Daphnia pulex: one gene and its partner. The protein of the gene in region 2 purifies or fractionates together with the protein of the main gene of each other region. This does not show direct contact. Links are inferred from orthologs where the notes say so. Each region holds a gene or a part of one and is shown on either strand. Other genes may lie near its edges.

Region 1 (16,528 bases), on a different chromosome or scaffold from region 2:
TGAAATTGTTTGCATTTATATTTCTTTATACTTTTTTTTGTTTTATTTTATTCATTTTTGTTTCTTTCTAAGTTTGCGTGGGCGTCACCGTCGGGGACGATTTGCATCCATCCTCGACTTACGGCTATTAGTAGCCCGGGGATGGCGACCAAAGAGATGGAGAAAGTTACGACAGCTCAACTTAGAAAAAAAAGGAGTGAACAGATCTTGAGAAAAAAGAGAGGAAACGAGTTAAAAGAAAAAGTTACTCGTAATGTTTTCCTTTTTGAAAGAGAATCTGAAAGAAAAAGAAGCCATGTCCTTAAAAATAATTGCTTACCTTGTTGAGTTCGGCTTCTGAAGGGAATCCGAGTCCGTAGACGGTGTTGGCCCGGACGTCCGACCACTGGCCAAACTTCTGTGACGTTTTCGTAAACGTCATGTTGGGTGTGATGGTGCTATTGATCACAGCCTGAGAATAAACGAGAGAGCAAACATGTTTCTCGTTAATTGATGTTGCAACGAGAGAGGGAAATCTACAATTTTTGGACGAGTGACTAGCGTAGTTAAGGGTAGTGTAGTAATGCGTCCGATAACGATGGCTCATCCAGCGCCCAATCCAAGCCAAGATCAAGAGCTGAGCCATTTAAGAGTCGGCTGACAATCGATCCGTAAACCCTTTCAGTTCCCATTAACAGCTCAAACCGTGTTCTTCAAACCGTGATGCATCCATCCATCTAACCCGCAGCTGAAAATGGGGAAGAAAGAAAGAAAAAAACGGCCCAACTTTTCTAGGGCACCAGAGATGACGCAAAATCAATAGACACAAAACCCTGAAAGATGAAGAGGGAGAAAGAATAAAAAAACAAACAAAAAAGGGATCGACATACTAAGTCGTGTCGAAAAGAATCGGGAACAAGGAAAGGCACTCTAAGCCTGAACGCCGGTAGGACGACGGCGCCAACTTGTTGACGTTCAACAACTTGTGCTTGGCTTTTTTCTCCGTAGGGCAGCAGAAGAAGCATTGCCCTTTTGAGTATTTATTACCAGCCGGTTCACGTTAAAGACAGGTGAGCATGGCATTTGAAAAAGTGGAGAAAAAGAAACTTTGAATCTTGAATGGAGAAGAGTGTTGCTTACTTTAGTGCCTTCGACGCTGATGATTCGGTACAGGGATCGTGTCGAGTCGTAGAAAAAGGAGACGTTGATGGCGGACGACGAGGCCGGGATCCACGAACGTTTCGTCTTCGGGTCGATGTGGAACACGTGAGCCTTGCACGTGAAAATTGGCTGTTCCCTAACGGACAGCAAAAGAAACGATTAAGCTAAAGAAATTGGATTTGCAAACTACTATAAACAAGACATTCGGCTCGATTCTCTAGGGTACGCTTTCTTTATTCTGTGGCAAGTCTCTTAAAGTCTAAGGCGAAAATGATCAATTCGAGAGGGTAAAAGCAAATAGGATTATATCGATTTTTGAGCGTACACAAAAGGAATATAGTGCCAGAGAAAGGGAGTACAGAAAGGGACAAAAAATGCGGGCAGATGTTCACTCTTTCTTTCTCCTCTTCTTCTTCTTTTTCTGCTCAAGCTATCTAACCACCGTGCGCACATGCGGGCACGTTCGCCCCATTTCAGCACGACAAAGTCCCAAGATGGACGGGGTCGTTGGGCTGCTGTTGGTTAGAACGGAGAAGGATCGGGGGCCATACAGACTGCGTACACTGGAGCAGGCCGCAAATAACTTGATATCACGAAAGGACCTTCCAGCGTCACTGAATAGAAACAGTTGGGAAGAAAACGTAGCGCGCGCGAGAGAGAGAGGGTGCGCCGAGCGGATCGATATGTCATTTCTCTATTGGATTACAATTGGGCTGGCTGGCGGCCTAGTCTTTGAGCCAAGTCCAACTGGATAAAATTAACGAGCCGCATGGAAACTTCAGGGCGTCAAAGAACTCATTATTGTTTACGCTAGAATCAATATGGCGCACTCTTCGCAACGGAATGCATTCCAGCGATGGCGCAGGCCCACATAAATAAATGAACGAGGAGCAAAAAGTATACGCGTATAAGGATTCAGAACCAACATTCTTGTCCAGCTCAGTTGCCCGCTCTTGCAACGACGATCAGGTCGGGCGGATAAAGGCCAGGGCTTCGTAAAATCACGTAAAATATTGTTTGAAGCAACTTTTCTTCAAGTAAGCCGGCAGACTAAACGGCGAACAGCTCACAAAAACCCCAACATTCCAAGCGTTAAAAATGCAGAGCGTCACGAGATTTCTTCGGAAATGTCACGTACACAATTTCTATCATGGCATTTCGGGCAATATGCGGGGGGAGAAAAAAGTCAATTAATGCGGAACCCACGGAGGGAGAGATAATGAGCCATCCCAGTAAGATAACACGAACGCTGATAATTTGAATTCGTGAAACGGGCGGAAACGGGATGGATCCGACGCACTTACAAGCCAGCCACTACCAAATGTAACAGTTTCAAACTCATTAGGGGTGAGGTGGAATGCATTCGACGAGTAGAGGCGTGGCGCGATGGGATAAGGAAAAAAGTAAACTGTGACCACCACGACTACTATACACCCAGACAAACTTGTGATTAAAGCAAAACGATTCGTACGCATCGTGTGTGTGTGATGAAGGGCCACACAACTCAATCACTTTTGGCGCCTTGATTATGACGTGCGGTTGGGAGTGGGGGGCCATAATCAGCCAACCCCTCCTCCTGCTTACCCACCGTTCTCCCTGAGCTCTGTTCTCTGGGCAAACAGTTCCAACCGACCAAAAGTGAGATAGAGATAGAGAGAGAGAGAGAGAAGCAACGAATCAATACCTCTCGACACGAAAAGGAAGCTAGAGAAACCAACAAAACAACCTTGCTGTTGCTGGTTTTGATCCATTCTACCTATCCAGAGAAATTCTATTCACACACACAGGGATTAGAGTGGGAGAGATACACTTCAATATAGGCTGGGACGGTAGACGCAAACTGGATACTAGTCTATATAACATACTTATATGAGCGCGATAAATATTCACTGAAAATGACACATCCTGCAGAGGCAATATGGCGTACATAATAACAGCGGGGGGCAATGAATTCTGAAGGCGACAAAATAAAAATCTCGTAGCTGACATTGCCGGAATATAAAAGAGGTAGTCGCACGACATGGCAACGAACAAATACAAGAACGACGCCATTCGACTCCCCGGCTGTCTGTCCACAATGTAAAATGACGCTAGACGAAATAGAAGCGAAGAAAGAAAAATTCAACGTTATCCGTTATAATAATAATAATAAAAAAAGTGTCGTCATTCCTTCAAGGGGCTAGGACGACAGGCTCAACGTATACAATATAAATCGGATTGGGACCTAATACGATTTCTTGTTTCCCGCCAGTCCCTCACTATTTTCTCTCTGTGTAACTCGCAGATTCAAACGTCATCGAGACCAACTGTGGACATCAATCTGGCTTTCTACTTTCCTATCTTTTGGGGCTTAGTTTCGACCGTGTTCAATACACTCTTGTCAGGGGAAGTATGCAGCAGCTGTTGGTCTGACTTCCAGGAGGAGTTCCTCGGTGTGTTATCGAATCCATACGACGGCGATTGTTCGATAGACCATTGGGTGCGAGATCCATCGATACGAGATGAAGTCTAACAGGATTGAGCCTGATCGCAATCGAGTAGATAGGATCAAAGAAGCCGAATTCCAGTTGAACGATCAAGACACCATTACCTATCCATTCATGTAATGGGTTTACAGTTCACAGAACACAATAGAGTAAAAAAGAAAAAAAGAACAGGAGATCGTGCAAATAACCAAGGAAAATTCGTTGAACTAAAACAACTTTTTCTTCTGTTTGGTAATGTTGAGCTTCTATAGCTCTAGTTCATGTAGGATATCTGTAAATATTACTAGGTGACTTGTGAGGATAAATAGAGCACTGAGTAATAAAGTCATTAGCCGCTCGAAAATCCCGAGAGAGTCAGCGAGAGAAGAAACACGGAGAGAACGTCGCCTTGGTGAACGCAGCCCAATCATGGCAGGCACTCATTAGCCATCCATGGCAACCTCATAAAATCTTAGGATTAACAATAAGATTTCGGGAACTATAGATCGAATGGCGAGGACCTAAAGGCTTAAAGAGACACGTCTGATTGAGGTATCATCGAGATTCATCCTTAAGATTAGACAAGGGTTGTCGACGTGATTCCATCTTTTCACTGGCGCCTTGCAAATAGCTCGCCCTCTCCAAAAGAGACAGACACGACATGGCATCATATCCGGGAACTGCTTTCTTGGCCCTGACACAGGCGCACAACCAAGATGCAATCCCCCCCCCCCCCTAAACCTCGGCAACCGCTTCCTACGCCTTAAATATTTGAGCAAGCTGAAAGAATATTGAACTTAAGCCACAGTTTTTACGAATTCAACTAGTTCCCGACTGCGGAACAGATTGAAAAAATAAAGTTCCAATGGGATAGTCTCCGGGTCGAAATCCTCACACAAATTCGGGCGATTAGAGTTCAATGATAAGTGTACGGGTTATTCAGTCACGAAAAGAGTGTCGAAACGAAATTGCCGAATCGACAGATTTGTCGATACGGCATGCACAGTCACGCGTGCTAAATGGTGATGGAGTGTGCCACAACCGAGGAGGATGCCAAGTTACAGAAAGAAAAAAGGAAATGAAACATTAAAAGTTTCCGGCTAGATCTAGCAATCCCGTCATTGCGACTCTGGCACGCACACGTAAACACGGGCAAGTATACAAGCGATTTTTTTTCCCCATTGCAAACACACACACATACACAAAAACGGAAATAAACAAATACCCCCATCCCCTCGCAAACCAACTCTTATGGAAGATTGAATAAATATACTTTGATGCCATTCATTTTTGATGAGATGAGCCTGTTTTCAACCGATTGTTATCCGAAGGATGATTTTAGTTATTTTTTTTTCCCCTGCCTTTTTTTAAATTAATTTTTACTTTATTTTAAAGTAAAGGTGGGGCTTCTCAGACGGGTTTATATCTAGCGTCCAACCTAGGAGACGCCGGCGATAGAAGCCTCCAAAAGAAGCAGTGAAATGAAATGAAACTCGACACGCGATATCTTACGTTGTAGTGAGCAAACGAAAAAAAAGGAGAATACTGTAGGTACGGATGAAAGTTAACATGACGAGAATAGCATTAACTAATAAATACCATGAAAAATAAGGGAAAGGGTTCGAAGTAGCCATCTAGGAATTAGACACAGGACACGCAGCATCGATTTCTTACAACTGAATACACAAAGTCCACAAATTTCTATTTCCCATTATCATTGTTGAATGTTTGTGCTTTTGGAATTGTCTGAATGGGGCTTGCATGTTTCAAAGTAAATCAATATTGTGTGACTAAAATCCCACTAACAGTGGGCCTAGCATCCTAGCAATATCAAGAGTTTTCTGGCTGGATGAAATATTACTTTGATGTATCACCTAAAGCAACAATCTATTGCTTGAGTTGAGAATAACATTTCGCAACAATCCTTCTGGGCTGTAGCTAGAGGCACAAGTCATTCAGCTTCGAAGTTTAGCTCAATACAACTTTAGAATTTAGTACAGGTTGAAAACTTGGATGCAGCTTAGCTTATTAGTTTGAAAATATGAATGCTATATTTACAGCCAAGATATTAATAAAATCTTTTTTAACATTTGAATGACGGGACACTTCAGTGAGTCTGTGACTTCAATATTGATTTACACTTTAGCTTAATGGTATTTATACACCCTAATGGAAAATTCTTATTTGTCTAATTCCATAGTCCAAAATACAAATATTTGAAACATATACCCTTTTAATTACAGTAAATTTGAATTCAGACTTGACAGTGGTGCTCAGCATCCAGCTGTTGCTACGTGGATATATGGTACGAATCGATTTTTCATTTAAGACTATACAGAATCAATAAATGCACAACTTACCCCATTTTAACTGTCGATGTCGAAGCACGAACAACTTAGAAAAATCTCAGATTTCGTTGGCAAACGCAAAAACTTTAAATACACGTATAGCACGCCATGACACAGGAAGAGCTTCTGTCAAATGGAACTGAAAGCCAGAGGTTGGGTTCGTAACTCCGTCTGCGTACGAAGGCCGCTAGGAAATCCTTTGCGCACGCAAGGGGAAAAAAATACTGGTCGCTATGCGCATGATTATATTTTTGTATCGGCTTTTACACAAATTCAAGGCACTAACACTATTAGTTACATTTTTGATGAGGTATGTTAAGAATTTGAGGACAATAATTTCAAGAAAAAAATTTATAATAAACTAAACCTGTCAAAATGCATATCTCCAACAGAATGATGACAATTAGGACAAGCTTATTAGTCATAGCAACACGAGACATTGACTTAAGGATTCTTCTACTTCTTCCCAGCTCTGCATCCGTTTCAGTCAATCTATCTCTTGTACGAACAAGCACTTCTCTTTGTTGACTTAATTCTTGAATAACTCCAGTGCCAATCTCTTCACTTTCTAAAGCAACCTGAGTAGTTCTGTAGAGGCTCTGTGATGTTCTTTCCAGAACTGCAGTTCCTTGGCGAACAGTTGTTTGAAGAGCATTATCAATGCCCCGGTTTTGGCTAAATGCAGCAGTGGATTGGTTTTCCAACAGTTTTCCTCTTGATGAGGCCAGAGACATTTCTGATTGCTTGGAAGAATTGATCAATAGAGCAAGTTTGGAACAGGTGTCCTGATGTCTTCGTACTCTGAAGTTGGATGATAAAAAAAACATTAGTTGAAATTTTACTACATGTATTGTTTGCTGTGTAAACTTAAGACATTCACATTTTTACCTGCCAATCATGTCCATCCTAAAAGAGCCAGGAGCTGCTCTAGCTTCAGCTTCCATTTCAAATATTGCTTGTTTAGCTTCATCTAGTCCTCTTTCGACATCGGCAATAACTTGCTTTTTTTCTTCGCCAAAACATTGTTCTAGCTTACCGGAACACTTTCTTTGCAGAATTTCGAACAAAACTTGTACATCTTCATCCAGAGTTTCAAATTTCTCTGAGCTCATTTCTGTTTCTTGTAGCACAATTCTGAACCTATTTGAGCACTACATACGATACCTTGCTATCAGGACGAAGACAAGGAATGTATTGTAGACTTGACGTATAAAACACCATCTGACAAAACATTGAAGACAGCGCCACAAACGGCGAGAATTAGCATTTCCATGACATTTACATTTAATAGCTAATTATTAAGATAAATTAAACACATTTCAGCCTGCAGAAGGTTTATTCAGATGTCACAGAAAAAACGTCATACAGGCACAGGTTCAATGATGTCACTCATTCCTTCTTATTTTTCTTCCCCTTTGCTTTCTTGGCTTTCGATCCCTTATCAGCAGCTGATTCGGGAACAGAAGCTTCTTCTAATGGGATAGCTTCAACGGGAGCAGCAAGAACCTTTTCCAACGGCTTCACTTCCGGGACAGCAATCGGTGTTGGGGCAGGAACGACTGGTGGCGATTTTCCTTTTACAGGAGTAGCGACTGGTGTTACCACCTTAACTACAGGTTCAGGGATGGTAACGATTGGCGGAGATGGTTCCTTAGCTGGAGCTAGGGCAGTCTTCACCTCAACAACGGACGCGGGTGTTACATCCATCGGTTCTACTTGCAAATCCTTTGCAGCCGTCTTGGATTTCTTGCTTTTCTTTGTTTCTGGTGGTGTTGGCTTAGGGGTTTCAACAGGAGGAGGTTGAGTTGGTTTGACATCTTGGACCGGTGCTTGAACGGGCGCTTCTTCTTTCGGCTTTTCAACAGGTAAATTTGGTACGGGTACTACTGACTGTAGAATGGATATACAAATTAGAACTTGGACTATTTTCCAAATCAGATTCTCACTACGATGGACAACTCACCAAAAACATCTGTTGATTAGCTCAATAAACCATGCTGTGTGCGCTCACTCGCAGGCTAGGCAGCTACCTTCTTGGTAGCACTCGCCTGTACATGTTAAACAATGTGGCATGCATTAAGTTACGTTCACATGCGGTAATACAATTTTAACAATTCAAACAGAAATCAAACGAAAAACTATCTAAGACATACAAACATTCACAGAAAACAAAATTACCTCGCGCTTCTTCTCGAGCAAAGCAGTCTTGCTCTTCTTCCGGGCCTCAGCAACAGCAGCGGCAGACTTCTTAATCACGGCGGAGTACGGGTTCAACTTCATCAATGCTCTCATGTTGGTAAGAGGATTGCGCTTAACAGATGCACGACGGATCATCTTCCTGTAATTTAAATTGTATCGATTAGTCATCTTTGCACCAGACAGTATCACTTGAATGATAAACTGCGTTCAGATTAATTTGCTAATCACAAAGATTCATAACCCAATGCTCTAAATGTGGTTTTCATCATTAATTAATCAATAATAAAGATTAAAAAGAAAGCTTGCCTTGGTCGTCTGATAACCTTCTGGATTTCATCAGACTTCAACAAACGAGACAAATCTGTTCCGGTCATGATGGGCTGAGGCAAGTTGTAGTTGCTCTTCAGCTTAGACTTCTGACGCCAAGTACCGTAGAGGGCGTTCAAGCGTTGGAAAGCAGACTCGGTCCAGATGCAGAAACGGCCAACATGACCACCAGGAGCAAGCTTCATGAGGTTCAGTTTGTTTACTGAAATCATAGAAACTCCGGGGATGTTACGGAAAGCCTTGGTCAAACCCTGATCTCTGCCATAGATGACCAGTGGACCCAATTTGCTGGTACGGCGACGGTTGCGCATCTTACCCTTACCTGCGCGGAAACGCCTGGTCTTGTAAACCTGTAAGAAATCAGATTAATTAGACGGTGTTCACACATAAAATCATTCATGACTCAGATTTTGTTCAGAGCTCTAAGGTGAAATCATTTACTCATAAACACAGACCAAGAAGCAACTCATCATTTTCCCGTGATAATTATACATAAATATCTAGAAACAAACCTTCTGGACATCAGTCCATGCGCGAAGACGGCGCAACAACACGACGGCCTGTTTGGTTTTTTTGTATTCTTGAACCTTGTCCGACACAACCAAAGGCATCTCCGGGACATCATTGATCAAGTGACCTGAATGTAAAAACATTTTAGTTCTAATTCAATATGACCTTATTTACTACTATCATTGTATGGATCAGGGACTCATGGTATGACTTCATGCTTGTCAGAAACACAGGAAACACATATTCATCATGCTAGTATGGAACCGTGCAATGATGATCTTGGCTCATATTTACCTTTGGACATCACCAAAGACGGAATACCCGAAGCAGCGACGGCCGAGCACAATGCAAAACGTTTCTGGTTAACGTTGATCTTGCGATGCCAACGGCGCCAGATCTTGGTGGGGGCAAACATACGTCCACCACGACACATGTTACCATAGGCACCCTGACCGGAGCGATGGGTACCACCTCCTCGGACACGGGGAATACGAGCCACAGCACGACCAGTACCCCATGATTCAGCACTTGTCTGATGACCTGTAATAGGAAAGAAGAAGATTAACAATCACACCATTACATGTGTGTATGAAGTTTGTCCGGTTGCCCAACCCCTCACTTTAAGAAAACAAAGCGAGAAAGGCCTCAGGGACTCGCTTTAGTGTTGCACACTGCACAAGAAGAGTCTGACGTACAATTACTCCTACATTTCAATGCTGTGTGCCATATAATTGGCATACAAGTTACCTGCTTTCTCGCTGACACAATAAGGGTGACGACGATTCATTGACATTTGTTGTTGAACAAAGCTGACAATGTCTGGCCTAATGGGAGCCCTGAAGATTGCAGGGAGCTGGATGCTGGTTCCAGAGGCCTCAGCCTTCTCATTGTAAACGGTAATCAACGGCCTCGCGACCACCTTACTCTGTAAAACAAAATGGATAAACAAATTAGATTTAAGATTTTCAAGAGACAACACTTGAATTTACACAAACTTTGAACTAGATGTACCAATTAACCAAAACATAACAATAAACCAAGAACGACGTTGAATTAACATAGAAAAACAGCAAGAGCCCATTTGACACGAGGACGAAACCACGCTGTGGGTAACATTTTACTCCCAAACTTTCGCCATAGATTAACAAGAAAATGGCTTAGAAAAATATACGCACGCAAGAATTTTCTTAAAACACGTTTCTCCCGTTAACCTTTTTACTTACTATTCGTAAATTAATGTATGTAAAAACTAGTAAAATGTTTGGAGAACCTCATGCTTACCATCTTGGTAGATAGTCCTGACCGGGTAAAAAGGCGAATGAAAGAGACCCACAGTAATGGCGACAAAGAGGAAGTCTACAATGTTGCCGGCATACTTTGAGAATTGCCGCCCTCTACGTTCCGTTTTTTACTTGATTATTTACTTGAAAAATTACAGATTATTCACTGAACTGATCCACTGTTTAATAACAAAAATTATGGAGTTTCAATTGATGATTTCAAACATTTTAATGGAGTGATTAGTTATAAAATTTTTAATATTGTTTTATTTGTTTCACAATGCAACGGTGTCCAAAATATTATTGAATAAAATTTAATATACCAATTTATTTTCATATTTTATTCATTTAAAGGAAGTTAATGATCTTTATTCATTATCAAAAAGTAAGTTTATGAATAATTAGACATAATGAAAATCAATTACTAAAACTGTGGCTCATATTTATTAATCCAGCAGAAAATCTGACAATCTTGCTGACAACAGACAGTTTGACACAAATCACAAAATGCCGATTCCGTCAACAAACATTTCCACGCCGAACGAAAGGATTTTGGTTGACGATTTACCATACGTTGACCAAGAATATGGAGATCCAACTCTACGAGAAGCGGTAAGCAAAACTTATACATTGCAAACTTTGAAATATTTGAATCGCTTCGAATTGAGGCTTGGAGATTCTTGTGTTAGCCTAGTCATCTCTAACATCAATACATTATTGTACTAGACCATAGTACTGTATGTTGCTGAGAACTCTCGCTCTTGTCCAATAGTTGTTTAATGAGAGTAATTTCTTTCTATCAGGCACTTGCATTGGTTGATGAAGAGACACGAAGATATAGACCAACCAAAAACTACCTAGAACATCTTCCTCCACTTGAGCTGTCAGCATTTGAAGTAAGAACTGTCTGCATGGAAGTAATGATAGGAGTGTGTAATAATTATGGAAATTATCATGTTCATAGACTCCTTTGATGAAGACTGAATTTGAGCGACTGTCTCAAAAGAAACCAATGGATGTTTTGAGCATGAAACGATATGAACTCCCACCCCCATCTGCTGGTCGTCTAAATGATCTTCAAGCATGGATAGAGTGTGTTGATAATTCAATGGCTCAATTAGAACATCAAACAACAAGGTTTGTTTTCTAAAAAAAAATTTTACAGCAACCATAAATTTAAAAAAATTTCAATTAAAAAACAGGATTTTGAACTTGGAATTAATGTCAGAGTATGGTTGTGAATCATGGAGAATTTATAACACTGTATTGTCCCAGATGATCCAACAATCTCAGAAGCATCTTCAGGAATTTAAGTATGATTTCAGTAAAGTAGACACCATATTGCAAAATACACTATTATATTTTTCTTTACAGGAAACAAATCCAAGATGTCAATTGGGCTAGAAAAAAAGATCAGACAGAGGTTGGAGACAAAATGAAACATTTGGAAGCCACTTGGTTTGGTTTGATCACTAAAAACTACGAAATCGAACTCGCGTGTGCTGAAATTGAGAGACAGTTAGCTTCACTTAATGAATGAAATTCAATGTAAACCTACTTTATCGAATTCGGATAATACACTGCAACAGGAAATTGATTCATCCGAGATTTTCAGTAAGTGACAACCAAAAAGATTTGGTTGTAAGGGAACAAAACAAAAAAATAGTATAAAGTCATGCACTTTCAGATTAGCTTGTCTTATAAATGGTAAGTAGCACGTTCTGATTTTATATATCACACAATTGAAAACGAGAAGAAGCGTATGAGTACAGCAAAGCGTAATTCAGAGAAGGGTAAAAAAAAGGGTAAGATCATAGGGAAGTCTCACTTGGGGCTGAACTTAAAGGTAAAGGGCGGACGGAAGACTCATCTTCCAGCACCATAACTCGTTGCTTTAGGACGCGAACCTGATAATCACATGACATTTTTATGTCGGTCACACTTGATAACTCGTAATTTTTCTCTATATACCTGCATTGCATGTCTTTCCGACATGTTGACCATTTGCTGCTCTAGTCTTTTTAATCGAGATTGGTACTTTTTCTTAGTCCTCTCAAGAAGTTGGACCAACGTCCTGAAAATTAGTTTACGGATATTACATATTTGTTGAAAACGTAACATATTGTAAGTTAAGCATTTAAAGATATCTTACGCGTTGGCTTTCTTGACATCGCTAACTAGTTCAGCCGACTGCTGACTACGGATTTCTGCACTTGAAGTGACGCGTTCAAGGGCTCCCGTCAACTCTTGGATTTTCAATTGGAGTCGCTTTTCTCGAACTGTTAATTCGTCTCCATCAGCTCCTTCAATTGAGGACAGAGGCTTTTCGCCTGATGCATCTGTGTTAGATCCCTATCAGTGAAAAGTGCGTTTAAGTAACCTAAATCATTCTCCATTTCAATATCCAAAAAACCTACGCCTGTGTTAAGACTTCGAAGTTGAGCGGCAGTTGCTTGTTGTTGGGCTTCATGAGTAGCCCGCTCTTTTTCAAGAATATAAACCTGAGTTCGAAGTCGTGAACGTTCTTCTCTCATGGCCATCAATTCCTAGAGAAACGATAGGATTAAATCTATTTTTACTCATTTATACAAAAGCAGATGTTCACCTGCATGATGACGGCCATCTCTAGATCAATTTTCCGAGCTTCAGCCAAAGGTAAGACTTCTTTAGGCAAAGGATCAACCAAAACTGACTCCAGGGGAAGCGAAACTTGTTGAACTGTGTTTTCCAAGCTTGATCTATCACCTACAAAAGATAATGAGAAAATGATTAAGTAATTTGCTTAAGTAAGCCTGGGCACAAAATATGTTACCTTTCAACCGGCCGATTATATCTCGTACTTTCCTTTCTGTGGGCTCCAGAGTACAAGCTGGATTGGATCCCGATCCTGAACCACTCTCCGCTCCACTTGAGGTAGAGCTTGTTGTACTACAAGATAGACGAGAAACAAATGGAATAAGAAAATTATAAGTCCTGAAGACCGACAATTTTTTTATTTTTTGAAGTACTTTGTGTGTCTTCCCGTGTCCTCCCAATTGTCTCGTTCACGATCGTATTTTGACAAGAGGGATCGAGCAAGATTCTCAGCCGAACGCCTGCGCTCTGTAGCGCGTTTCCAAAGCACACTAAGATCTTTACTATTGCCACCTGATTCCGTTTCCCAAGCGGTTCCACTACGGCCAGTCAACCCTAGTCCTGCCACTTGGCAGTTGGCCAATAGAAGAGACATTTCGCTTTCTACTAAGGCAGCTAGAACTTCAAATGCTTCTGAAACTCTATCGGCTCTTTCAAGTGCCATGCGTAACGCCATGCAATTTGATTCGTATTTGCCTGCATGAATAAACAAAAATAAAAAATAGAAAAATCTATTTCAGCATTTCTTTTATCGAATATGAATACCGAGCAGCACTGCGAGACGTTCGCCCAAAGCTCGAGACTCGGCAAGTGTCATCGAAAGCACGTCATTTTGAGCTCGCAAATGCTCAGAGCGGCTAGCCAACCGTTCCACTTCCAGCTCCAATTCATTGACACGTACAGACTCGGCTCCGGATGCGTGATGTGCCTCGCCTTGAACAGAATCTTGGTGAACGGAGCAAACCAACTGCTCAGCCACTCGAGCATCGCGTATCTAGAAATTATAAACAATAAAGACAAAGGCTTTACGTAATGGAGAGAGAGAACCACGTAAAGCTTCGAAACAAACAAAAAAAATATGATAAAGGCGGAAACTCTTTTAAGGGTGCAAAGTTATAGCCTTCATGGAAGCGGATTGTCTATCTTTTAAGGGAAGAAACTTATGATAAACTTTGTGCGATAGTTGAAAGGTAAACAGGTCCAAAGAAAAGCCTCGTGAATTAAGAATAGAGAAAAAATGTTGTTGGCTTCCAATACTGGACATGGCCTCTGGCAGACAAACAATGGGAGTGCCTGTGACTTTCGCACTAAAGAAGATTACGAAATGGCAAGATCCGGAATGTGGGCAGTCTCGAACTCGAAGCAGTGGGCTTTCTCCTTATTCTCACCTGAATTTACTGACACATCAATCACAAACACAGACAGAGATGTCTTACCCCAAAACTGGCGATTTGAGATCCGGTCAAGAGTTTTTCCCGGCCGTCTAGTCGTCTAATGCGCACCCGTTCAGCAACCTTGCAAACTGGACCTTCTTCCACAACAACGGGACTGGATACGCGACTTGATACCAACCGCTGGTGGATGGGGCTGCCTTGGAGGCTAGAGAGAGCTCCCATACTCGCTGCCGCCGAAAGAGGTAGAGGCCGAGGTTGTTGGCTCATTTCCAGCTGTCGCCTTAGTTCATCACGCTCCATGCGCAGGGCGTCCACAATTCCGTGAGCCTGGTTCAAATCTTGGCCGAGTCGTAGAATTTCCACTTTCAGTTCTTTGTTTTCTGAGCTGAAAGCGGTCAAAGGATCAGCGATCGGAGCGGAAGCTTCTTTGGCAGCGGAAGAAAGGAATTGATCAAGATTCTCTCCGGCCTGAACTGCTTTCGCGTCAAGATCATCTTCGCCCGCCTGGTTCGCTTCACCTGCTGGCCCGGCGCCATCTTCATCTGCATGAAAGAATGCGAATATTATAGGAGAGTACAAAGAAACACGCTCGTTCGTCGTCACGTCAGGCACTTCTTGTTAAATGTGTCATTTCTTCTACTTGATTGTTTGACAACTCGCCAAGTGCCTCTTCCGAAGAAGTGTAACACTGAATCACTAATCAGCGACATTTAAGCTGTTGCCCAGATCCAATCTCGCTTTCATTGCGGGCGATCTTCATTTGATCTCAAATTAAGCATTCTTGGCCAGAACTACAGGACTTAATTGTGGCGTTGATTGCGGAATTCAGACATCTGAAAGGCGGAATCTTATTGGTTACTAGTGCCAAGTCTCATCCCCCCCTCCACCCCCGCCGACAGTTTTTACAGAGTAGACGAAACCCCCTTTCATGTTTCGATCAATAAGTCATTTCTAAGACTAGCTCTTCATTATGTTATGATCCATACCGGAAGAGCTGGCACCAAAAGAGAGGTCGCTACTGCAGCTGCTGGATGCAGCAGCTTCTGGTTCTTCTTCAGTTACATCTTGTCCATCCCTGAGCAAGCTATAGCCAACTTCTTCTGCCCGCTTGTTCCGATTAGTTGCCTCAGGCTTGACATCAGTCGGGCGTTCGACAGAGCCTTTGACTTCTGGATCGGACCTTTTCATTTTACTTTCCTCCTCGCCGTCATTGTCGACGTCATCATCTTCCTCTGCTTCTTCTTCATCTTCGTCGTCTTCCGTTTCCTCTTCTTCTCCTTCTTCCTTGATGACGCTGTAATTCAACAACGGAACAAATGATTGATGACATCTCAGCAGAAAATACCATTCTTCTTACTTGTACTGCTGTCGGTTTAATTTCCGCGTCAGCTCGGCGATAACGCTGTGCAATTCCGTCAGCCTTTCTTCGTACTGCGTCGATTGACGTTCCAACCGTTCCTCGCTCTCCTGCACCAATCGCAATCGCTCCAACTGAAAGAAGCCGAAATAAGAACATGAACAACATGATAGAATTCGCTTTGGCAGCGACAAAGGGAAAACAAGGGGGCACGATAATACCTGTGTTTTGGCCAGGGCTTGTTCGAGCGTATCTCGATCTTGAGCGGCCCTTTGGAGTCGGGCGTGCAGTTCCGATATCTCTCCACGGAGTGAACCTAGTGCGGCCAGGTGTAGCTAAAAGAAAAAAAGTACATCAACAAACCATCCATCAGGGGACGAACCGTCAAAGACCAAGCAACATTCCACTGAAGTAACGCGACGTGAAATCTAGCTCACGATGGCAAAACTGAAAACTCAAAGGCGCAAGGGCGTTTACAGATTTCCCTTTCTCGTGACTGTGTTTCTCCCGAGCTCAATAGCCCCGTCCACACGTCGAGTACATCAAGGAGATAAGTTTTATAAATAGAGAGAGAGAAGGGAGAAAACTTTTGACGCGTTACACGCGCGGTCATGAAAACACCACGGAAACTATTTAGGAAAAAAAGGGGGGATTTTCCGTACATCTCAGCAAATGATGTCGATGCAAGGTTTAACAAAATTTACTTCCCAATTGGCAACTGCTTGCAAGTCACCTGTTTCGAACGAAACAAATCCTACACTTCCCCGTTATTTTAGGGGAAAGAAATAAAATGTTTTATTGTTTGCCTTCCCGAACGACGAACGGATGCTGGAACAAATGCTAAAAAACCACGTCACCGTTTCGTGTCGTTTCC
Region 2 (16,119 bases):
CCAGTCTAGGAGCCACACATAGCGGCCTGGTCTACAAACGAAAACGAGTTTGGAAAGAGAATAAAAGTCGAGTGTATACACATACAAGAGAGAGATCTGCTGCTGGGAGAGCGCGAAAATCGATACGTGTGAAGACAGACGAAAAGGAGCCAAGGAGCGACCTCTTGCGGGGCCCGCATCTATGTATGAATGCGTGGCAAGATGGCGCCGTGCGTAATAGATGTGGATATAATACAAGTCGCTCCCATTCACCAACAGCACCACTTCTTTAAAAAAAAAACTCTGCACATTTTCAGATATTTTTGTAAGATTTTGTATTTCGTGTTTCAGGAGCCGCAAGGAGCCAACCGGCCTCCTATTGTGTGTGGGTCGTCTCTATACATACATCGTTCTGTGTATAGGATTTATTGGTTATATAGAATAGAAAAGCCTATGGCTCGAGTAGATGTCGATCGGTTTCGATCCGACCCTTCCATATTCAATAGGAGCCGTACATATAGATAAAAAAGGAGGAGGGGAAGGAATTTCTTTCCATTATATATCCGGGGAAATGCCATCCGGCGTTAAATTCTTTGCGCGGATGTTATTATATAATATCTAAATATTCAATTGTTATTTCTTTTGTCCTGTGTGTTGTGTATTGTGCATCTATTGTAATAGGAATGTGACTTGCTACTACTACATCCGGCAGGCGTGGTCGCCCAAGAACCAGACCATCTTGTTGACTCTGGTGCAAACGGAGCCGGGCCAATCCTTTTCGGTCCGCACGTCGGACGCTGGCGACAAGGAGCGCAAAATGATGAGCGGTCGCGAGTGCCGGACCCGGGTCGACGACACCGTTTCCATCTACAACGGCGCCACCATCGAGTCGCCGCTCCTGGCCAGGCTCTGCGGGACGGGCAACATGCCGCACATCACCGGAGCCGGCGGCGAGCTCCTGGTCGTCTTCCGCAGCCAACCGCACGACGCCCCGTTCAATCCGGCCCCGTTAGGAGCCTCGCCCGGGTTCCGATTAACGACCCGCGTTCGATTCGTGGCCGCCAATCAGGTGCGCCAGTATCATCCCGAGTGCCGGATCTCCATCACCAGCTCGGGATCCAACAGCCGCAGGAGCCAGCGCCAAGGGATCATTCGCAGTCCGGAAGCCACGATGGCTCCTAACACGTCCTGTTTGTACGAATTCACGGGGCGGGAGGATCAGCGGGTCTGGATGACTTTCCTGTCGTACCGGCTGGACGGCGGTGAGGATGGCGACTGTCTGACGCTGACGGACGGCCAGGAGCTGGTGTCCCGTCAGTGCGGAGCCACGGTGCAGCCGCGCATCTGCCCGCACGCTCTGGTCCACGCCAATTCGTCGACGGCCTACAAGCCGTGCCGCTGGCAGGACGGCGAGAGTTACCTGTCCCGCAGCCCGCGCTTCACCATCCGCCAGGAGCTGGCCACCGGAACGGCCATCCGACCGTGGAGTTTCGTCATCCGCTTCGAGTTCATTACCGTCGATCGTTTCAGTCCCAAGGAGCAGCTCGTCAGCAGCAGCGGCCAGGAGCAGCAGGAGTCTCCGGCTCCTAACGGGTCAGGGATGACGACGGGGGTGGCGGACTCGCCGGAAGCGCCGTCCAGCACCGGAGATGAGGACGACCAGCAACTCGCCTGGCAGATGATGACTCCTGATTGCTTCCAGCTCCTGGAGAGCGCCAAAGGAAATGGCAGCGTCTCATCGCCTAGAAATCCTTTGCTCTACGGACGCGGAGGCAGCCGCCACCTACGCTGCCTCTATCGCTTTCAGGTATATTACATTAGATTCCCAGGGCAGCCCAGTCCAGGCCAGCCCAGGCTGGGCCGTGTATTGATTTTGAACCAATTAGTGTGCACTAGCAGCAGCAATGGATGGTGAAAAGGCGATGAACATCCATCAGATGGATGAATCATTTATCTACCGAGAAAGATAAGAAGAAGAAGGAAAAAATATAGAACTTGCTCTCAATGCACCCTCGTCGGCCGGCTGGCCGTCCCCCCACCCTTTCCCCATTTATATCCTATAGGCTATAGACGTGTTCAAGCTCCGGTGGGTTAGAGGGGGGAAACTTTTGCAGCTCCATCCGGTTGTGCCATCGAATGCTGCGGATGTAAAAGCCCATTTCTCTCTCCGCTCCATTGGGGAAACGAGAGATGGAAGCGATGCGACTTCATCTCTATCTTCTATACTATTCGTCAAATAAAAATGGGGGCCGATCTTGCGTTATTGTTGCGTATAACTCTTACCAATAAGCGGCTAAACTCTACACAATTTCCACGTCAAATGGGCCAGCCACTGTCGCTAATCCGATCATCTATATTATTAGTTCAAGTCCGCCATTTTTTAAATTTCCAGCAATTTCAAATTTGGCGCGCTTTGTTTAAACAAGTGTAGAACCAAAAGCTTAAATTATAATTTGTCTAATAATCATTATTCCGGTTGATTGTGTCTTATATAACAAGGCCGGCAAAGGTGAGCACACGCATTTGACCATCAACCCGTTCCACTCGACGGGTTGCGCCCGGTTCAACCAGAGCGGCTGCCAGGCCTGTCTGAGCGTCGACGAGGTCTTCTGGGGCGGTCAGGTGCGCCGTCGCTCCTACCACACGTGCCGCTCGCTGTCCGGCAACAACCCGGTGGTCCTGCAGAGCGCCGCCTCGTCGCTGGAGCTCATCTTCGAGGTGCGCGACATGAACTGGGCCCAGGACGACGACCATTTTTACTTCGTGGCCGAGTACTCGTTCTCGCGCGGAATCGATCCGGCCTGCTGGGACAGCCACCAGCAGACGGGCAAGCGCGGCAGTTTGCGCATCGACCCGCGCGACCGATGCGTCCGCCACTCCATCCCGTGGCACATCCAGGCCCCCCGCGGTGGATACATCATCCTGGTCTTCCCGGCCGGCCAGGCCTCCGTCACCAAGACGGTCGAGGGCTGCCCGACCAACAATCGGCTCTTCGTCTACTCCATCACCGACGGCAAGACTCAACTCTACCGGGAAGTTTGTCTCATGGCCGGCGGACTCCAGCAGACGGGCGGTGACACTAAAACCCAGCAGCAGCAGCAGCCGCTCAATCTCTACTCGGCCGGCTGGTCGGAACGCAATTGGATGGCCGACGGGCTCCTGGTCGTCGCTTCTCTGCAAGGGGTGCCCATTCCGGATGAGACTCCGCTGGTTGTGACTTGGTTGTCCGTCTTCAAGGACGTCAGCAGCAAGTCCATGTCGTTCGCCGCCCGTCAGTCCGTTTACGGAGCCAATGCCAGCAGCAGTCAGATGGTCTGCCGGACGGGTTGTCCAGCACTGGGCGCCTGTTTGAGCTCCGATTTGTGGTGCGACGACCGGGACGACTGCCCGGATGGATCGGATGAACGTCAGTGCATCCGGCTGGTCTTCTGGCCGCTCTACGTCGGACTGGTCGTCATTTTACTGTCGCTGACGGCCGGACTGGTGACCGTCTACCTGGTCCACCGCTACTACCAGGCCCGTCGCTACACGGCCAACGGGCGGACGTACAAACCTCGGCCGAAGGAGACGAAAGCCAAATTCAGTTCCGTAACGGTCAGTCTGACCCGTCACTACGAGAAGGGCGGCCCGGGTTCCTGACATCCGATCACCCAACCCGACACGCCGCACTGGGCCACCGAGACCCTCTGCGTCGACGATTGGGTTACCAGCGTCTGATTTATTTCCTTTTTTCTTCTCTTTTTGATTTGGACAAAATCTCTCAAAACAATTTGTGTTGCGCCGTGTATAATTCAATGTCTTATGTGTGTATAATGCCCCTCCCCGATCGTTTCTCATTTGTGTCTCCAGTTCCAGTATATCCCTGGGATTTCAAAAAAATCGTTTCATCTTTCCTTTTCTCTCTTTTGATCAATTCTATCTTGATTGACATACATAAATCGATACCAGAAAAAATTTTAAAAACTAAAAAACTAAAAAACAAAACAACTGCAAAGTGGTGAGAGCGGACGGGCGACCGATATTTGAACTCGTCTTCCATCACACTTGGTAGCTCACTTTGATGTTCTTCATTGTCTCCTCATATCCAGAAGAAAAGTCTCTAACCTATATGTAAGATAATAATACCTGCCAATGCGAGCGTCATCTTTTGATTCTATATAGTCTCTCCCCTACTGCCTCCCAATCAACCCCCCCGAAAATGATCAAAGTATCACGAACGAAATTGGTTCAATTGCCAATTGAAAAAGAAAAAAAAAGGAAAAATTTTGTTTGTTGTCATTATTGCCATTCTTGATCTCTCTCCGAAAATATTCGAAACATTGAATTTGGTTGTTTATTTCTTTTCTTTAGATCATTTTGAATTGTGTTGAATGACAAATTTAGGCGCGGGTGATATATGTTTCTGAATTTTTATATTGATTGTTGTGTGTGTCGGAGAAAAAACAAACAAACAAACGGGAAGCTTCTGATTGCGGATGAAATTGGCCGTTGAAAATGTCGGGTGCGTTCAGAGCGCGCGCGGTCAAACAAGAAGCCCCGCCCAATAATAAAAAAAAAAGCGAGAAACATTTGATCCCATTGCAATTAGAGCCGTTTGTTGCTGGGTGGAGGGGGCAAATCACACACACACACACTCAGCCAATCTATATAAGTCGCTGCACACGGTTTTCACATCACGCACCGGATTTTTCTATTTTCTTTTTCATTTCTTCCGGCGTGTTATATGCCATCCAGCAGGAGCTCAGCTTGGAAAACGAACTATATATGGAAACAGATGATTATATATCTACCTAACTCTCTAGCTCTATATACACCGCAGCCGTTTCTTATTCTTTTTCTTTCTTCTTCTTCTTATACACCCAAAGGAATTGGGTTTGGACATGCAAGTGTGTGTGTGTGTGTATGTACAGTTCTCTATAACTCTGCTATACATACTATATATGGTCCACGGGACACAATTCCAATTGTGGAGGGGTCTGAGCATCCCCAATGCATGCTTCATGCCTTCCTTCATTCTTATGTTCTTGTTCGTTTTGTTCTTCCACCAAATAAAAACAAACCAACCCAAAGAGATAAAACTACGTCGCGAAAATTACCCTGGTTGTTTTTTTATTTATTTAACTTGAATTCCTCCACCACACACACACACTCCCCTCTCCGCTCTTGCTCTCTCGTTCTTTGCTCATCCACTGGATACGATGTTGTTTCCTTGTTTGAGTTCTTTTTTATATTCAACGTAAAAACTGTGTCGTTCCCCCTGTTTTTATTTTTTAGTTCCCTGTACATACATATGAAAAAAAAAAACTTCCGTACGTGATGATAAAATCAGATTCACTCCGTGTTTTTTTTTTTGTTGAAAAGTTAGGAGAATATAGAACGAATCGGGGAAAAAAAATTTAAGTTTCGTTGAATGATCAGCAGTTCGAGGGAAAATAAAAGAGCTGTGACCGGGTTGGATATGGCGGGGGATGGAATCCAATGAGAGAGAGTGACACGATGTATAAATATATGTGGAATACCATCGGTTCTGTATTCATCAATTGATATATAAACCGTGTAAAAGGTGAAATACAATGGGAAAATGATCAGCCGTTCATCAAAGTGTTTGATACTTTTTTTTTTCATTTTTCTGTGACAGACATTATCAATCTCACTCGATTCCACAAGACAATGTTAAGTGGATTTATAGTAATCAAATATATATTTCAAATTGTCATCCATTCATCTGACTATAGTGTGCAAACCCCACCTTTCAATATTTGAATTTGCGGATTTTGATGGACTCAACTTGTACGCCTAGTAATACCGGTCGACAGGCTTTTTTTTTTAAAATAATCAAAAACAAATTATTATAGCTGTTTTAGAATAGCTCAGTTACAACATATTTCAATACTTGGGGATATCTTGAAAATCTTCTTGCTGATCAATGGTATTTGACTGATAGCCACACTATATTGATTTGGAAAAATGGTTTAGATAAAAGTTGCTATGTTTAAAAATGCAGCACATGATACCTATCATAATTAGCACAACTAGACCGCAGAGTGATCCTAGAATGAGACGAGTTCTCATCTCTTTCCACCACATTGTTTTACGGAGCCTGCATGGTGAGTAAAGATTTTGTTAAATATTGTAGACTAGTTGTTAAAAATAAAAGATTACCTTGAGGAAGCAGTGTGAAATTCATCGGAAGCACTTCTTAAATTTTCTGATCTCTCATTCAGCTCATCCAGCTGGTCACCTCTGGCAAACAGCTTATGCACATTCTCCTTCATAACGTTAGTGACCTCTTCCACCTGGGATTTTACCCTGTCAAAAGAAAAACAATTAGATCAACATGTAATTTGAATTCTCAAGATGTAAGCTTACTCTTTCAGCTTGTTGTTTGAAAATTGTCCTCCATCTTTTTTACTGGAAAAATTCAAATTTGAAATGAAACAAACTAATTTGAAATATTAGAAATAGCTTACTTGAGCACGAAATCTTCATCACTATCATCAGACACATTATCTAGTAGCTGCTCCTGTAAAGGACAAGGATTCTTAGTGTTAGTATTTAAGTTACTCCCACGTAACAACATATAGTTGTAAAGAATATTAAAGCTGACAAGTGAGTTTTTGGTAAAAACACTTTATGACTTTACTCTTTCAAAATCTGCTCCTTCACTCCTGCTTGGTCTAGTTGGTCTTCCAGACATAGCAGATATTAAAATATTTATGAACTTTCTTGAAAATGTGAAAATAGGATCAAACTAACTAGTAACTTTACAATAACTAAAGGAAAACAAAGCTGTCAATTAATTTCATCAAATATCTTCTGCTAAACGCCATCTATTGTCGACGACTACAACTGTGTACACATTCGTCAGCTGGGCTACAAGTAAAAGCAGCAAAAGAATAGCTGTTTGTGATTAATAAGTACTGTTTCATTTTTTAAAAAGAACACATAGCATTTAGCATAGGATCTTCAATAACTCGCTAATTGCCGTAAAAAGACCATTTTTATAAAAACAATTCGATTTTTAGTATATTCATGTGCGAATAGATGGCAAAAGTCTAAATCAGAGTATTTTTGAAACCTGAAGTTTGAATAATGATCAGAAATCTAACTTTAAACAATTAAACAATAATAATTAAAAAAAAAAAAAACATGTATGGGGTTTTTCACTCTGTAGACCAATACTGGCATCGCCAGATCAATGTTAGCTTCATCTAGAGTTCTGAGCCTACGCTTTTTAGGACTCAAAGAACCGCTGTATTCAGTTAACCATGGATTAAGAATTAACCGATTGGCTTACAAGTGTAACGTTGTAAAGCCATTTGAATACCTAGATGTAGGTCTTAGGATTTGAATGCAATACTTCCATGCTAACTTTCTTGCACCTCGTTAGATTCAATGAAATCAATGAAACCAACGATAATCCATTCCATTGACGAGTTATTACCTCATTAATTGCTATTTTACTTAGTTATTTATCGATCGGTGTGAAACAGCTATGTTCACCAGTAGAGTCGAACTCAGGTGTCAAAGTGCTCTTGCGATCACTAAGCCACGCCTTATCCGACTCACACACCCGACCTCCCATTGTTCATATATTAGTTCAGTTAGCCTATAGAGGTTTTTCCATTTGGTTCGTGTAAGTAGAGGGAAAAGTCGTGCGGCTAGTCGACTAGTGCGCACCATGGCGGTGGATAGCCGAAACTTGCTGCAGACTTTGCTTGATCCAAACGATAGTCACCGTAAGGCCATGTACTGTAACCTGTCAGGCTGTCAGCAGCAAAAGTGAAACCTGTTTTTTTTCTTAAGTGTTTAAAATGACAAAAGGTTTTTGTTTCATATGTTCAACTTATGAAAAAAAAAAGAGATCGCCGAAGTTTTTTCAAAGTGCCAGAATGCAACATTAACAGTAATTCAATTGAGAAAGAACTCATTTCACTTTGAAAAAACTTCGGCGATCTCTTTTTTTTTTTTCATAAGTTGAACATATGAAACAAAAACCTTCTGTCATTTTAAACACTTAAGAAAAAAAACAGGTTTCACTTTTGCTGCTGACAGCCTGACAGGTTACAGTACATGGCCTTACGGTGACTATCGTTTGGATCAAGCAAAGTCTGCAGCAAGTTTCGGCTATCCACCGCCATGGTGCGCACTAGTCGACTAGCCGCACGACTTTTCCCTCTACTTACACGAACCAAATGGAAAAACCTCTATTTAACTTTCTTTTCATTTTAGGCACATTTTATTATCTACTTGACTTTCAGATTCATTCTTTAAACGTCGTTATTTCTATCGTTAACATTAATCGTTAACATAAAAAAAAAAAAATTATGTGCTTTGCTCTTCTTTTTTTTACATCGAAAGAAAACAAAAAGTTCGGATGTGACTACTAGATGGCAACTGCAAATTTAGTTAAATATGGCTGGTAGGTGGAGTCATGGGCTCTCACCTCTCAGGACGAAAAATGGAGAAACATGCCGAAACCCGAAAGTAAGCTCAAGCTTGACTAATTCTTTCTATTAAACTATTACAGCGCATTGTTTATCTATAAATGATGTCTATAATGTCTTTAATTAATGTTAATTATGAAGCTGGCAAGCTGCTCAGAATAATTGTTCCTGATCATTCCTTCTATCCTTTTAGGTTCTAGAATCCAGACCTACATTTTGTTGTTTTATTTTGAAGAATGATGGCGAAAATAAAAACAGGTATTGCATTAATCTTCTCCTGTTTCCTAGATATTTGGAGTATTCATTGTTCTGAGTGCTTGTTTGTTTACTGTGTAACTGTGTGAACTAGAGAGGGCAGAGAAAATACTTTTGGGATAGAGATAAAGTGCATTGACCTATTTTGAGAGAACACAAGTTCCCTATAACGAGGCCATAAGAATCAAGTAGGTTTTCTATGTTTGGAACACAATAACATTCTACTTAATCTCCATAAGAACCAGACGTCGGAAAAAGTTACTTACCGCACAGGTTCTCCACTACCAAGCCCGTTTTAACCTCCATTCTCTCTGCCTCTATTATATCAAAGGACTAAAGCATCAGGTATAAATAGAAAATTGTTTAAAATTTCTTTTTGAATCCATCTTAATGAGCTTTTTATTCTTCCGATAGATCTCGAAACACACAGGCGATGAAACACAATAGATGCCCTATGTGGTTCAAGATTTCCATCATGGCCCAAGAATAATTTGCCCGCTTTGATCTACCTTTTGAACCATTCAAGATGAGGAAGAATGTCTCGTTTTTCCGGAAATTTCAGTTCTAATCGTTGAGGGAATATTCGCTTTGTAAATTCGAACCCTCTGTGCATGGCCAGCTGAGAAGAAATGGTGACCAAAGCCGGCAGCATTTGCAAAACGGACAGGGAGGTCGCCACATGTTTTCCCCTATTGCGTATTCGCAAGACAGTGGAAACTCCCAAATTGTCGCACCCCATCAAGATTTCAAATAACATGGTGCTTTTAAAAGGTAATTGTATTTATTTTTAAAATTTATTATACGGCATAGAGTCCCTTTAGAAGTCACCCATCAACGGGGGTCGATTGCTGACGTTAATACTGTCGCAAGTGTCGCATTCATTATGCGTCATAAACATGCAATTTTGCCGAATCGACTGGGTTTGTAGGATTTTCCGAAATGCTTTTTGTCGAATCGGCTGCCATTTTATGATACCTAGTAGAGAATTTTCGTACTGCTTAACGAATTTATTCTGTTGTCTGGTTTATTCTCCCTTTTTTCTGTTGATGCCTGATTGGTGGCTGGTGTACAAAGAGTATTTGTCTCTTAAGAATTGAAATTTTAAATTAAATTGAAAATTTTACATCGAAGTTCCAATTGGCTTAGTGTTTATAAAAAATTTTGAAATTCCCACTTGTGGAATTAAGTTTTCAATAACGTTAATTTTGTGGTCGTGGGCGTGGTGACATAATTTTAGCTTTCCCCATTCAAATTATTTCCTTAACTGCTTCAACATATTTTCCAGCAATTTTATGTAAAGATGGGTTAAATATGTTTGATGTATATAAAATGAAGTACTTTTCCTTTAAAATTAATATTAATGTAGTTATCATAAATAATTAAATGGTTTGTCATGGGGTTAATTAATATGAAAGTGCTAATAATCATATCCTTTTTATTCTTTCCAGGTTCCTGACTGCATCAAATTGTTATTTTTTAGTTGGAGTGGTGAAGAAGAAAGTGCCCCAGCCCTTTTCTGTTGGAACAGTAGCTCTAATGTATCAAGACATCTTGGGTGAAAGTAGGTTCTTTTTGGAAATGTTTTGGGAGTAGTTTTTTTCTGGAATTCTGGGAAAAGTGGGAATGAAAAGTATTTTTTTTTTCTGGAATTCATTGTGGTATTGAATTTCAGTGTTTCCCTGCTTGAGAGTCTGTCAAGTCTTATGAACAGGAATTCTGAGAACATTTTGACTGTAGAAACAATTATTGGAAAGTGTCAATTTTTAAGTTAAGTGCTCATGTGTTTAGTCTACAATATTTTATTTTTCTTTAATTGCATTTCACCTTTATTGTTTCGTAGGTTTTTCCAATGTTGGTTGGTGTCTGAGCTGCAGTCGAAGTTGGTGTCTGATGTGCAGTCGAAGTTCGAAATCTTGGCCAGAATCATAGATTACATGATATGGCCTTGAATGGAGAGATTGCCTTCATTGTCTATCTTGAGCCACGAGAAGTTCAACCAAAGAATTATCCTTATTTGGTAAATGATTTTCGTTTAGACCAATACAGCAAGTGTATTCTGATGTTTCATTATACAAAACTAATTTTGGCAACAAGTTAAGTGGTTTGACGCAACGAAAGAAAACGATGCGGTCAAAGAAAGTTCCATGAGTTTTCTTGCCGGGAATACGGAATATGACATGGAAATAAATCGAGTAAGGTAATCGAGTAGTTACGAAAAATTTTATTCAAACATGCAAAGAATACAGTTAATGCTTAAACGATTGAAGAGGAAAGTAAGCAGACCAAAAACATTTTAAATTAGCCTCTTCCTGTTACGATTGTTTAGAAATGTGTTTTAATTTTGGTTGTTTGTGTTGTCGTCTGCTTTAGGATCATCATGGAAGAGACTGTCAGCTTTTTCTCGGAGATGCGAAGCCTTTTCTTCTATCAAAAACCCAGAGTGCTCCAGTAATTGGATCCAACTCTTTGGAGGTACTCTAGTTAATACTCCATGTTTGACAAACCATTCCTCTAAAGTTTCATTAATTCCAACCGGATCTTCTTTATGTTCCGGTTTTGACAAATCAGATGGTGCTTCTTCTTTCGCATGTCTTACAGCTTGTTGTAATGTCTTCAGAGCTTCTGTCAGTGCTGCAGCTTGTTCAGTGGCAAGCGCTTCAGCTTGTTGTCGGGCAGTGGCTGCAGAATTTACCACTTCATTTTTCTCATCGGTCAATTTCAATAGCAGTTCCTTTTGAATGTGGTACTCTTCCGTCAAAGTTTTGATATCTTCTTTGCACGAGACTAAAGCGGATTTTTCTTCATCGAAGTTGGATTTTAGCTGATCATATTGCGCTTTCTGGTTCATCAATTCGGTGTTTGCCTGTTCCAAAAGTCGATTCTTATCTTCCGTTTCCGTTTGAGCAGCTTTAACTGCATCCGTCAATGCAGATTTTTCGAGTTCGATAGTGGATTTTTGATTATTGAAGTGCGCTTTAAATCTCGTGAACTCGGTTTGCATTTCATCCAAAAGTTTGCTCTTTACTTCTTTTTCCGTTTTAGCGAGGTTAATCTCATCCACTAAAGCTGATTTTTCTTCATCGAAGTTGGATTTTAGCTGATCGTATTGCGCTTTCTGGTTCATCAATTCGGTGTTTGCCTGTTCCAAAAGTCGATTCTTGTCTTCCGTTTCCGTTTGAGCAGCTTTAACTGCATCCGTCAATGCAGATTTTTCGAGTTCGATAGTGGATTTTTGATTATTGAAGTGCGCTTTTAAGCTCATCAACTGAGTTTGCGTTTCATCCAAAAGTTTGCTTTGTTTTTCTTTTTCCGTTTTAGCGAGGTTAATCTCATCCACTAAAGCTGATTTTTCTTCATCGAAGTTGGATTTTAGCTGATCATATTGCGCTTTCTGGTTCATCAATTCGGTGTTTGCCTGTTCCAAAAGTCGATTCTTATCTTCCGTTTCCGTTTGAGCAGCTTTAACTGCATCCGTCAATGCAGATTTTTCGAGTTTGATAGTGGATTTTTGATTATTGAAGTGCGCTTTAAATCTCGTGAACTCGGTTTGCATTTCATCCAAAAGTTTGCTCTTTACTTCTTTTTCCGTTTTAGCGAGGTTAATCTCATCCACTAAAGCTGATTTTTCTTCATCGAAGTTGGATTTTAGCTGATCATATTGCGCTTTCTGGTTCATCAATTCGGTGTTTGCCTGTTCCAAAAGTCGATTCTTGTCTTCCGTTTCCGTTTGAGCAGCTTTAACTGCATCCGTCAATGCAGATTTTTCGAGTTCGATAGTGGATTTTTGATTATTGAAGTGCGCTTTTAAGCTCATCAACTGAGTTTGCGTTTCATCCAAAAGTTTGCTATTTTTTTCTTTTTCCGTTTTAGCGAGGTTAATCTCATCCACTAAAGCTGATTTTTCTTCATCGAAGTTGGATTTTAGCTGATCATATTGCGCTTTCTGGTTCATCAATTCGGTGTTTGCCTGTTCCAAAAGTCGATTCTTGTCTTCCCTTTCCGTTTGAGCAGCTTTAACTGCATCCGCCAATGCAGTCTTTTCGAGTTCGATAGTGGATTTTTGATTATTGAAGTGCGCTTTAAATCTCGTGAACTCGGTTTGCGTTTCATCCAAAAGTTTGCTTTGTTTTTCTTTTTCTTCATCGAAGTTGGATTTTAGCTGATCATATTGCGCTTTCTGGTTCATCAATTCGGTGTTTGCCTGTTCCAAAAGTCGATTCTTGTCTTCCGTTTCCGTTTGAGCAGCTTTAACTGCATCCGCCAATGCAGTCTTTTCGAGTTCGATAGTGGATTTTTGATTATTGAAGTGCGCTTTAAATCTCGTGAACTCGGTTTGCGTTTCATCCAAAAGTTTGCTTTGTTTTTCTTTTTCTTCATCGAAGTTGGATTTTAGCTGATCATATTGCGCTTTCTGGTTCATCAATTCGGTGTTTGCCTGTTCCAAAAGTCGATTCTTGTCTTCCGTTTCCGTTTGAGCAGCTTTGACTGCATCCGTCAATGCAGATTTTTCGAGTTCGATAGTGGATTTTTGATTATTGAAGTGCGCTTTTAAGCTCATCAACTGAGTTTGCGTTTCATCCAAAAGTTTGCTTTGTTTTTCTTTTTCCGTTTTAGCGAGGTTAATCTCATCCACTAAAGCTGATTTTTCTTCATCGAAGTTGGATTTTAGCTGATCATATTGCGCTTTCTGGTTCATCAATTCGGTGTTTGCCTGTTCCAAAAGTCGATTCTTGTCTTCCCTTTCCGTTTGAGCAGCTTTAACTGCATCCGTCAATGCAGATTTTTCGAGTTCGATAGTGGATTTTTGATTATTGAAGTGCGCTTTTAAGCTCGTCAACTCGGTTTGCGTTTCATCCAAAAGTTTGCTTTGTTTTTCTTTTTCTTCATCGAAGTTGGATTTTAGCTGATCATATTGCGCTTTCTGGTTCATCAATTCGGTGTTTGCCTGTTCCAAAAGTCGATTCTTGTCTTCCGTTTCCGTTTGAGCAGCTTTGACTGCATCCGTCAATGCAGATTTTTCGAGTTCGATAGTGGATTTTTGATTATTGAAGTGCGCTTTTAAGCTCATCAACTGAGTTTGCGTTTCATCCAAAAGTTTGCTTTGTTTTTCTTTTTCCGTTTTAGCGAGGTTAATCTCATCCACTAAAGCTGATTTTTCTTCATCGAAGTTGGATTTTAGCTGATCATATTGCGCTTTCTGGTTCATCAATTCGGTGTTTGCCTGTTCCAAAAGTCGATTCTTGTCTTCCCTTTCCGTTTGAGCAGCTTTAACTGCATCCGTCAATGCAGATTTTTCGAGTTCGATAGTGGATTTTTGATTATTGAAGTGCGCTTTTAAGCTCGTCAACTCGGTTTGCGTTTCATCCAAAAGTTTGCTTTGTTTTTCTTTTTCTTCATCGAAGTTGGATTTTAGCTGATCATATTGCGCTTTCTGGTTCATCAATTCGGTGTTTGCCTGTTCCAGAAGTCGATTCTTGTCTTCCGTTTCCGTTTGAGCAGCTTTGACTGCATCCGTCAATGCAGATTTTTCGAGTTCGATAGTGGATTTTTGATTATTGAAGTGCGCTTTTAAGCTCATCAACTGAGTTTGCGTTTCATCCAAAAGTTTGCTTTGTTTTTCTTTTTCCGTTTTAGCGAGGTTAATCTCATCCACTAAAGCTGATTTTTCTTCATCGAAGTTGGATTTTAGCTGATCATATTGCGCTTTCTGGTTCATCAATTCGGTGTTTGCCTGTTCCAAAAGTCGATTATTGTCTTCCGTTTCCGTTTGAGCAGCTTTAACTGCATCCGTCAATGCAGATTTTTCGAGTTCGATAGTGGATTTTTGATCATTGAAGTGCGCTTTAAATCTCGTGAACTCGGTTTGCGTTTCATCCAAAAGTTTGCTTTGTTTTTCTTTTTCTTCATCGAAGTTGGATTTTAGCTGATCATATTGCGCTTTCTGGTTCATCAATTCGGTGTTTGCCTGTTCCAAAAGTCGATTCTTGTCTTCCGTTTCCGTTTGAGCAGCTTTGACTGCATCCGTCAATGCAGATTTTTCGAGTTCGATAGTGGATTTTTGATTATTGAAGTGCGCTTTTAAGCTCATCAACTGAGTTTGCGTTTCATCCAAAAGTTTGCTTTGTTTTTCTTTTTCCGTTTTAGCGAGGTTAATCTCATCCACTAAAGCTGATTTTTCTTCATCGAAGTTGGATTTTAGCTTATCATATTGCGCTTTCTGGTTCATCAATTCGGTGTTTGCCTGTTCCAAAAGTCGATTCTTGTCTTCCGTTTCCGTTTGAGCAGCTTTGACTGCATCCGTCAATGCAGATTTTTCGAGTTCGATAGTGGATTTTTGATCATTGAAGTGCGCTTTTAAGCTCGTCAACTCGGTTTGCGTTTCATCCAAAAGTTTGCTTTGTTTTTCTTTTTCTTCATCGAAGTTGGATTTTAGCTGATCATATTGCGCTTTCTGGTTCATCAATTCGGTGTTTGCCTGTTCCAAAAGTCGATTCTTGTCTTCCGTTTCCGTTTGAGCAGCTTTAACTGCATCCGTCAATGCAGATTTTTCGAGTTCGATAGTGGATTTTTGATTATTGAAGTGCGCTTTTAAGCTCGTCAACTCGGTTTGCGTTTCATCCAAAAGTTTGCTTTGTTTTTCTTTTTCTTCATCGAAGTTGGATTTTAGCTGATCATATTGCGCTTTCTGGTTCATCAATTCGGTGTTTGCCTGTTCCAAAAGTCGATTCTTGTCTTCCGTTTCCGTTTGAGCAGCTTTGACTGCATCCGTCAATGCAGATTTTTCGAGTTCGATAGTGGATTTTTGATTATTGAAGTGCGCTTTTAAGCTCATCAACTGAGTTTGCGTTTCATCCAAAAGTTTGCTTTGTTTTTCTTTTTCCGTTTTAGCGAGGTTAATCTCATCCACTAAAGCTGATTTTTCTTCATCGAAGTTGGATTTTAGCTTATCATATTGCGCTTTCTGGTTCATCAATTCGGTGTTTGCCTGTTCCAAAAGTCGATTCTTGTCTTCCGTTTCCGTTTGAGCAGCTTTGACTGCATCCGTCAATGCAGATTTTTCGAGTTCGATAGTGGATTTTTGATCATTGAAGTGCGCTTTTAAGCTCGTCAACTCGGTTTGCGTTTCATCCAAAAGTTTGCTTTGTTTTTCTTTTTCTTCATCGAAGTTGGATTTTAGCTGATCATATTGCGCTTTCTGGTTCATCAATTCGGTGTTTGCCTGTTCCAAAAGTCGATTCTTGTCTTCCGTTTCCGTTTGAGCAGCTTTGACTGCATCCGTCAATGCAGATTTTTCGAGTTCGATAGTGGATTTTTGATTATTGAAGTGCGCTTTTAAGCTCATCAACTGAGTTTGCGTTTCATCCAAAAGTTTGCTTTGTTTTTCTTTTTCCGTTTTAGCGAGGTTAATCTCATCCACTAAAGCTGATTTTTCTTCATC

What was found.
Region 1: the proteins of vesicle-associated membrane protein 2-like (region 2) and vesicle transport through interaction with t-SNAREs homolog 1B-like purify together in Homo sapiens (affinity purification with mass spectrometry; 4 studies listed by BioGRID and IntAct, counting the BioPlex papers as one, with this or other methods). This does not show direct contact. The link is inferred for Daphnia pulex from reciprocal best matches to the Homo sapiens genes VAMP4 and VTI1B.

What each region holds. Positions count from the first base shown.
Region 1 is NC_060018.1:4,109,946-4,126,473, reverse strand, and holds vesicle transport through interaction with t-SNAREs homolog 1B-like, read right to left. Parts: upstream 7,180-16,528; 5' UTR 7,066-7,179; coding exon 6,842-7,065; intron 6,755-6,841; coding exon 6,292-6,754; 3' UTR 6,182-6,291; downstream 1-6,181. Other genes in the region: homer protein homolog 2-like, read right to left, coding at 320-451, 1,120-1,276, 5,966-5,970; pre-mRNA-splicing factor SPF27-like, read left to right, coding at 10,777-10,881, 11,073-11,165, 11,234-11,406, 11,472-11,582, 11,644-11,809; uncharacterized protein LOC124189006, read right to left, coding at 7,343-7,843, 8,132-8,291, 8,459-8,829, 8,992-9,116, 9,284-9,529, 9,737-9,914, 10,838-10,869, 12,098-12,176 and 11 more. UniProt on the Homo sapiens protein: V-SNARE that mediates vesicle transport pathways through interactions with t-SNAREs on the target membrane. These interactions are proposed to mediate aspects of the specificity of vesicle trafficking and to promote fusion of the lipid bilayers.
Region 2 is NC_060027.1:3,966,447-3,982,565, reverse strand, and holds vesicle-associated membrane protein 2-like, read right to left. Parts: upstream 6,806-16,119; 5' UTR 6,677-6,805; coding exon 6,623-6,676; intron 6,503-6,622; coding exon 6,450-6,502; intron 6,391-6,449; coding exon 6,349-6,390; intron 6,289-6,348; coding exon 6,142-6,288; intron 6,080-6,141; coding exon 5,994-6,079; intron 5,929-5,993; coding exon 5,903-5,928; 3' UTR 5,873-5,902; exon of another isoform or gene 5,809-5,872; intron 5,797-5,808; 3' UTR 5,485-5,796; downstream 1-5,484. Other genes in the region: uncharacterized protein LOC124208271, read left to right, coding at 661-1,786, 2,479-3,618. UniProt on the Homo sapiens protein: Involved in the pathway that functions to remove an inhibitor (probably synaptotagmin-4) of calcium-triggered exocytosis during the maturation of secretory granules.